2 linked regions of the Arabidopsis thaliana genome follow. The protein of the gene in region 1 interacts with the protein of each later gene in a pairwise test. Each region holds a gene or a part of one and is shown in the gene's direction. Other genes may lie near its edges. The genes, in order: PTAC5 and HSP21.

What was found.
Region 2: the proteins of PTAC5 (region 1) and HSP21 interact in a protein complementation assay, tested with the Arabidopsis thaliana proteins (one study listed by BioGRID).

What each region holds. Positions count from the first base shown.
Region 1 is NC_003075.7:7,946,553-7,951,559, forward strand, and holds PTAC5 (plastid transcriptionally active 5), read left to right. Parts: upstream 1-2,026; 5' UTR 2,027-2,091; coding exon 2,092-2,664; intron 2,665-2,876; coding exon 2,877-2,972; intron 2,973-3,061; coding exon 3,062-3,175; intron 3,176-3,321; coding exon of another isoform or gene 3,322-3,375; exon of another isoform or gene 3,376-3,589; coding exon 3,590-3,836; coding exon of another isoform or gene 3,837-3,859; exon of another isoform or gene 3,860-3,998; intron 3,999-4,001; coding exon 4,002-4,039; intron 4,040-4,131; coding exon 4,132-4,227; 3' UTR 4,228-4,470; downstream 4,471-5,007. Other genes in the region: PRR2 (pinoresinol reductase 2), read left to right, coding at 1-78, 687-927, 1,047-1,250, 1,540-1,700. UniProt on the Arabidopsis thaliana protein: Exhibits zinc-dependent disulfide isomerase activity. Required for seedling and chloroplast development under heat stress, probably by maintaining plastid-encoded RNA polymerase (PEP)-dependent transcription.
Region 2 is NC_003075.7:13,818,102-13,822,020, reverse strand, and holds HSP21 (heat shock protein 21), read left to right. Parts: upstream 1-2,049; 5' UTR 2,050-2,125; coding exon 2,126-2,375; intron 2,376-2,539; coding exon 2,540-2,973; 3' UTR 2,974-3,196; downstream 3,197-3,919. Other genes in the region: AT4G27680 (P-loop containing nucleoside triphosphate hydrolases superfamily protein), read right to left, coding at 55-355, 561-758. UniProt on the Arabidopsis thaliana protein: Chaperone protein required for seedling and chloroplast development under heat stress, probably by maintaining plastid-encoded RNA polymerase (PEP)-dependent transcription.

The sequences.
Region 1 (5,007 bases):
GGTGTCCACTTCCGCACCCACAACATCCCCGTTCAGCTCAAGCTCGTCGCAGCCATCAAAGAGGCCGGTAACGTCAAGGTAAAAGGACTCATACATCACTAAACACTTTTCTTTCTAGTGTAGTTGTTACCTTTTTCATCAGAGTTTAAAGCAATTTAAAATACCGATTATCGTAGCTGGTATTCCAAAAAAGTTGCTTTGGCATATATACAACATAAATTAATAGTATATGTGTTAAAAAAATATGAAGGTACAATGTATCTGTCTGCATCAATGACATATGCATCTTTTGAAAATAGCTGATATATTACGGCTATATTTTGCTAACAATCGCAAATGAATTGAATTTAACTCTATAGACATATACTCATTTTTAAAAATTTAATAATTTTCTTGGAAAAGATAAAGATCCGTTTGTAAGATAATTGTGTAACACAAAAGTCACCTTTTTGGCTTACCAATAACAAAGTTTTAATAAGCTTGCATGCATTATTGTTCAAAGACTATCTAAAGGTTTTTGAAATAATAATAAATCATTTTAGAAAAAAAAACAAAATTATACAACCAATCTTGTCGGATGTTTTTTTAATAATATTGACTGTCTTAGCTTATGTTCGGTGGTGCTTACACTAAAAAATTAAAATATTTCAGTGAAACTACTTACAATAAGTTAAAAAATATTTCAGCGTTTCTTACCATCAGAATTTGGAATGGATCCGTCACGTATGGGACATGCCATGCCACCAGGAAGTGAAACATTTGATCAAAAAATGGAAATACGAAATGCAATTAAGGCCGCCGGGATCTCCCACACATACCTCGTCGGTGCTTGTTTTGCCGCATACTTCGGCGGAAATTTATCTCAAATGGGAACTTTGTTCCCTCCGAAAAACAAAGTTGATATTTATGGGGACGGAAATGTTAAAGGTTAGAAGAACTCTTATGGAACGCTCTCTCTTCATATTTTTCTTTTTTCTATTTGTGTCACTTTTATAATCATGAAAATTCTAAAAAATCTATTTTTGTTCCCATTGGTTTTATTATAGTGGTGTTCGTAGATGAAGATGACATGGCAAAATATACAGCGAAGACGCTTAATGATCCCCGAACGTTGAATAAAACTGTGTATGTTAGACCTACCGACAACATTCTCACACAAATGGAACTAGTTCAGATATGGGAGAAACTAACCGAAAAAGAGTTGGAGAAGACCTATGTTTCAGGAAACGACTTTCTTGCTGACATTGAAGGTAAATCTAATCATCATCTAGTAACCAAATTAAACAAACCTAGCTTTTGGATTATAGATTTCTATCACATCTCTTAAATAAAGCATTGGATTAATGTAAGGTTGGTTTAGTATTAAAACCGAAATGTAAAAGTTGGTCATGCCAAGTATTTATTTTCTATATATCACATCTCATAAATTAAAGTAGACGTTTTTGTCTTTTAGATTCTAGTAAATTATGAGAAAGAGTTGAATTTAGACCAAGTATTTATTTTCTATTAAATGTGAAAATGTTTATTATATACATGCAGATAAGGAGATATCACACCAAGCGGGACTAGGACACTTTTATCACATATACTACGAAGGTTGTCTCACAGATCATGAAGTTGGAGACGACGAAGAAGCTACTAAACTCTATCCGGATGTGAAGTACAAACGCATGGATGAATATTTGAAAATTTTCGTATAATGTTACATATATGTGAAACACATCGCCATTTCCTTATTTTTATGTTTTACCATGGCCTTTTGTTTTGTTTGCTTGAAGATGTTTTCCGAATTTATTTTAAAATTTAAATGTTTCAGTTATGGATATGTCTGGTTATATATAGATATACATATAATCTCAAGGGTCCGAAAATTTCCAAAAGTAAACTCAAGGGTCTGAAAAGATAATTTGGAAATTTAAGTCCTTTTCCTAGAATACCACCGATAATATAAGGGCTTTATACACAAATACACAAGAGATACTTCGAGAAGAGATTAAAAAATAAATAACATAAAAAAATGGAAATTATCTTCCCGCCATGTGTATGTGGTAACTAACAAAAGCTTCGATTACTTTATCCTCTCACTCTCTAATGGCTTCTTCTTCTCTACCTCTTTCTCTTCCGTTTCCACTCCGATCTCTTACTAGTACCACTCGATCTCTACCATTTCAATGTTCTCCTCTCTTTTTCTCTATTCCTTCTTCAATCGTTTGCTTCTCCACTCAAAATCCCGACCGCGAAGAGGTCCGGTGGCTCCGGGAAGAGCAGAGATGGATTCGCGAGGAGCAACGATGGATTCGTGAAGAACAGAGATGGATACGCGAACGTGAATCGCTTCTACAAGAGATTTCGGATCTACAGCTCAGAATTCAATCCCTAGAGTCACGAAATTCGCAATTGGGGAATTCTATTCCCGATACGATTTCGAATATCGCTGCTTTGCTTCAGGTTTTGAAGGAGAAGAATCGGATTTCTGAGAGTGGATTGAGCGCAACGCCGATGGTATTGGAGAGTACGAGAGAACAAATTGTTGAGGAGGTGGAAGAAGAAGAGAAGCGAGTGATTATTGCTGAAGAGAAAGTTAGGGTTTCGGAGCCGGTGAAGAAGATCAAGAGGAGGATATTGAAAGTTGGAAGCGAAGGCGACGATGTTCAAGCTTTGCAGGTCTGCTCTCAGTTTTAAACCAAAGGCGAGTAATTTGTCAATTTAGTTCTATCATCACTGAGAATTAGCTTAAAATTGAGAGATTAGGATGATGATTTGAAGTAGTTTAGCCAATATGCATAAGTTTGAGGTTGATTTTAGTTGAAAGTGTTGGGAGAATGTTTATTTTTTTGATGGTTTCTGTTGTGGATTTGGTTTCCTCTATGTGATAGGAAGCTCTGTTGAAATTAGGATTCTATTCGGGCGAAGAGGATATGGAGTTCTCGAGCTTTTCAAGTGGGACTGCAAGTGCTGTTAAGACTTGGCAAGTATGTTTTTATGCATTTAGCTCGCAGTGATTTTCTCATGTGCTCATGTAGTTTTGATTTTGACACGGTTCATGTTTATGGTTTAAAAGGCATCGCTTGGGGTCCGTGAGGATGGGGTAATGACAGCAGAGCTTCTTCAGAGGTTGTTCATGGATGAAGACGTAGAGACAGATAAGGATGAAGCAAGTACAATGAAGAAAGAGGTAAAAACTGAAACCACTAACTACAGCTCAGAGAACTTGTTCTATAGCATGGCTCGTTTCTAACCGACTTATATAATATGATAGATTTTAGCTGTGTAGTAAGCCTTTGGAGTAGTTATGAAGTCTCTCTTTACTTTGGTATGCAGTCTTCTTACGACAGAATATGGACTCCCATTGTATGCTTTTGGCAAGCTTGTTAGCTAAGATGATGTTTCTGTTGCTAGTGAGCTTTGTTCGGAATCTGAAGTGTCTAATATGAGTCTGAAATACAATTGGTAAATGGGATAAATACTACATTGTCTTGTTTGAGGTTTTAGGGAACATGAATATTCTGAAATTTCTCTTAATTTGCTTAATACACCTGTTAAGACTGGTTCTTTATACTGGATCTTTCTTTTAATTCCATTGATTAAGGAAGCTGGTAATGGGGCGGTATTTACTTCAGTGACACAAGTCCCTGAGAAGAAGCAATCAATCGTGAAAGATCAAAGTGACAGAGAAGTTGACGTTACTCAAAATCGGGTTTTTCTTCTTGGAGAAAACAGATGGGAAGATCCCTCCAGGCTCATTGGCAGGAACAAACCGGTAGACAGAAGTGAATCAACAAACACCAAAACGAGGTGCATCACTTGTCGAGGGGAGGGTCGATTGATGTGCCTAGGTAAATCCCTTCTCCCTGGTTAAGTGAAAATCATCCGTTCTTTGAAAGTTAAGAATGATTTTTCTTAGCAAATTGAGACTGCTAATAGACACCAACCTTAGTAACACTTCAAGCACTGAGTTGTAGCACATTATTTGATGATTATAAAATGAAAACTTGATGTAGAGTGCGATGGAACCGGTGAGCCAAACATTGAGCCGCAGGTGAGTAAAATCAAAATAACCCCGCTCCGATTATGTGTATGTATGTATTATCAAGTAGCCTAAAGCAGAGAAGCTCTTGTCCAATGTTGTAGTTCATGGAGTGGGTTGGTGAAGATACGAAGTGTCCGTACTGTGAAGGTCTTGGCTATACAGTTTGCGATGTCTGCGACGGCAAAAAAAACTTATAATAATGATTCATATTTAATTTAATGAAAAAACAAATTAGTTTGTTTTCCAAATCGCATAATATGGTTGTTTAAGAGAGATATATATATAAATTTAGTGAACAAGTACGTAGTTAGTTTGTTTTTCAAATCACACGAATGGAAATCGTCTTTTTAGGATAATTTCGCATAGGTGCTATCAAATTTTAAATTCAATTAATTTAAATTAATGTCAAACCGGAAATAACATTTTATTTTATATTTTCATTTCATTTAAATGTTTTTTATATATATTTAAACATGAAGTCCAATATCTTATATTTTAATTATCAAATAATATTCACTTTGTAAAATTAACAATAATAACTATTAATTTTAGGCATATTATTTTCGTAAGAAGAAAAATATTAATATCAATTTCCTAATAATAATAATATTTAAACACATCATTCAATTTAGAAAAAAAAACAAACAATATTATTCAGTTGAATATTAAACATTTATACAATATATTTTATTTATACGGAAAACTTCTTATAAAGTATTTTATAAAAGATTTGTAGATTGTACGAATATTTTCTACTTTTAAAATTATTATTTAAAATCTTTTAGTTGTGAAATTTTGTATGGATAGTGGAGAATTAATTGTGAGGATTGTTTGGATACTTTGATGGTAGAGATAAAATATATTTTCTTCTTGGAGAAAACAGATGGGAAGATCCCTCCAGGCTCATTGGCAGGTAAAATCATTGGTTATTTGAAAGTTAAGAAGAAAAGCTAGTATTCGTTCTTAGCAAACTGAGA
Region 2 (3,919 bases), 5.9 Mb from region 1:
GGCCTACTCAAAGTGTGTTCCTTTATCACACACAAAATAATAATATGCACTTACCAAGCTTCTGAGCATCTCCAAACCACTTGCTCATCAGGTTTGAAACCCTAACATTAATGAAAACAGCTCCTGACTCTTTGGCAATAGCCTTAGCAAGCATAGTCTTTCCAGTACCAGGAGGTCCATAGAGCAAGACACCTTTTTGAGGTCCAAGAAGCTTCCCGTAAGCAAAAAGCTCAGGTCTTTTCAGTGGTAAAATCACAAGCTCATACAAAGCCTGCTTGATGGTCTCCAACCCTCCAATAGAACCAAACTCCACATCAATGTGGTCTGGATTTATCACATCACATGCAATTACATCCTATTCACAAAATTAGAAACTAGTGAGCAATTTCTCGAGCTCATTTCATGAGTTTGCGCAAAAAGACGATTGGAACTCAAAAGTATCCAAATTTCAATATTAAACAGAGAGACCAATACAAATTGGTTATCGAAACCACATATCGCATTCTCAGGTAGCTACCAACCAGTGAGGATTCTAAGATGCTTAATTCATAGTAGATTACCTCGTATGGATTGGTCTGAACAAGAGGACGACCCAAACGTTTAGAGATTTCCTTCTTATGCTCGAGAGCTTTTTTAGAAGCCTCACGATTAGGATCGAGATGACGAAGACCCGCAAAGAGAACCAAGCAGCTGAAAGCAGCGCTCGCCGCGTAAAGTATGAGTTCTTGTAAGATCTTTGTCTCCGACGAACCTCCCATGTCTCTTCTAAAAATTCAACCTTTCAATTACAGAGTATCTCAAATGGATAAATAAAACCCTAAGTTAGTCAAGAAATTAGGGTTCCCAGATGAAAAAGAGGATATGTTAGCAGAAGACGGAAACAAATTTGGTTGTTCTTGTGGACGACGACAGAGCTTTTGCCTTGGTGGGGGTTTCTCGAATACTTGGAGATCGAGGAAAGGAGAAGCTGAAATTACCGAAATAGCCTTAGCTGCACCGTCGTAAGTCGTGTAACTAGATTGTGTCAAGAAGGGCCTTTAATAGGCCTTCAATTCAGAATGTTCTAAAACCGAATTAAAGTACTGTTCGGCGTCCACTAGATTTTGTAGGTACTATTGCATCATCATCATCTTATATCAGTTCAATGTGTGTCTTGTTTTTTCTTTTTTAGTCTATTACATCATCTGATCTTATTCTAGCAGCCTTTTGAAAATATAGAGAAAAATCATTCAATGTTTCTAAAACCAAATCTATACACAAAACATAAAGTCTTTTGGATCATTGAACATTTGATCGGATTGCGGATTAATAGATTAGAGCTTAAATTTTGTATAATTTTATACCAATCAAAATTAATATAGAGTCATGTCATGCTATTTGTATAATTTATGTACAACAATTATTATATAAAACGACTTGAACAATTCTGTGATAAAGAAAAAAAAAAAAAAAACGACTTGAACAATTCAACATGCTATAGATAGTTTATACGTAAGCTAATAAGCCTGTTTGATACTGTATATGACATACGTGTAGCTGATATGATCAAACTAGACAAAATTTTCTAATTTCTCCCGTAGATATATATTTTTAGTTTACTTGGGCATTCCATTTCTCATATGTTTCTGCAAGTTAGCACACATAATGGTGACTTGGTGAGTTGCTTTTTTTCTCTCTCTTTTTCAATATGATATGCTTTCTTCGATTTTTTTATTTTTTTTAAACAATATATCATCTAATCATGGTTTTTTCGTAATCGTGGTTTTTCTAATTGTAGAAATCTAGTCTTTTTTTTTCGTTTATTTTGTTTTTATTAGTTCATCACAAATAAACACTGATTGGCAAGAAGGAAAAAAAGAAGATGGTTCGGGAGAAGATGAGAAAACACGAGAAAACGCACAAAGGTTAACAAATAGTAAAATAGATAGATAGAAAACAAAACGAGTCGAGAAACTTCGTATCAAATCTTCAACCTTCAAGACCTCTCCTTTTGTCACTTAGAGCCTTCTCATCCTCACCTACATATATACACTCACTTCTACAATTGTAGTAGATACTCAACAAACTCAGAACTAGAATTTTCTAATCTTCACTCAGCGATATTTTTGGCTCATACTCGAAACAAATGGCTTCTACACTCTCATTTGCTGCATCGGCTCTATGTTCACCTCTTGCTCCATCTCCTTCTGTCTCATCGAAGTCCGCTACACCGTTCTCGGTTTCGTTCCCACGGAAGATCCCTAGCCGGATCAGGGCTCAAGACCAGAGAGAAAACTCCATTGATGTTGTTCAGCAAGGACAACAAAAAGGGAACCAAGGATCAAGTGTCGAAAAAAGACCTCAACAACGCTTAACCATGGACGTCTCTCCTTTCGGTACGTTCAACTAACTAAACGGACTTCACTTGTATAAATAAAAACTACATCCTCTGCTTATTACTTAAAACATTGCTCTGTTTTTATGAACTCAGCTTTTGTCAATCGAAAATCTCTTCCTCTGCTTTGAACTGAAACAATGTTCTGTTTTAATCTAACCACAGGATTGTTGGATCCTTTGTCACCAATGAGGACGATGCGACAAATGTTAGATACTATGGACAGGATGTTCGAGGACACTATGCCTGTCTCAGGAAGAAACAGAGGAGGAAGTGGAGTGTCAGAGATTCGTGCACCGTGGGACATCAAAGAGGAAGAACACGAGATCAAGATGCGTTTCGACATGCCTGGTCTCTCTAAAGAAGACGTCAAAATCTCTGTAGAAGATAACGTACTTGTGATCAAAGGAGAGCAGAAGAAGGAAGACAGTGATGATTCTTGGTCTGGAAGAAGCGTTAGCTCATATGGAACACGACTTCAGCTCCCAGACAACTGTGAGAAAGACAAGATCAAAGCTGAGCTCAAGAACGGAGTCCTCTTTATCACTATCCCTAAGACCAAAGTCGAACGCAAAGTCATCGATGTCCAGATTCAGTAGGACTCGATCAACATTATCCTCTTGTTTAATGTTTCTTGGAGGTACTGTTTGTTGTACATAAGCATATGTTTCTCTTTATAGCTTAAAGTGTGTGATGCAAGTAAAAACAACAAAGAGAGATTTTAGAGAAGTCTTTTCCACAAAAGAAATGAAATAATGGCACTAATATTTGGATATGTAATTGCTGAGGAGACGACACTAAATAATCTGTGAGTATTTTCTTAAAATACACCAATCGAGAAAAATCTGTTTTGTTTTCCAAGTAAACGTGATCTGATAGGAGTAACAACCAATCAGAGAAAAATCTTAAATCAAAAATTCGGTTCCATTATTTTATAATTAAATTAGAAGGTAATAGTCAAAAGAACATAGAAACAGTCCTTGACACATGTTGAATCCAATGAAGAAATACGTCTTCACACAAAGCCTTAAAACCAAAACTCATAGTTAGTCGAACAACTATTCAAAGCCCCGCCATAGACATGAATGTGACGTAGAGTAAGAGACAGGAATATTAAGACACGTAATTTGAAGTTTCTACGAAAACTCCAAATGATGTAATAGTCTAGATTTAAAAGTGTTGCTAAATTAACTTATTCGGGTGAATGAATGTCCAAACATGATTTTGGAATCGTTCATAAGATATGCTTTGGGGACATTCACAAACATATCTCCCCCCGATATGTTCAATACCTAAATGTATTTTGCATACTTTACTGGGCTGAGTCATGTCTCATTATTTGGGCCAATAAATTGGGATTTAGCATTATTACCCATATTGATATAAAGGTCTTGAAAAGGCCTTAACTAATTGTAAACCCTAAAACACTCTCCTCTCTAATCACGATTTATTCAAAAATAAAATCAAATATTTCTAATTCAAAAATGAGATCAAATCCTCTGCCACCGCTGCTTGGGGTGCTTGTGTAGGAACAACAACGGTCAT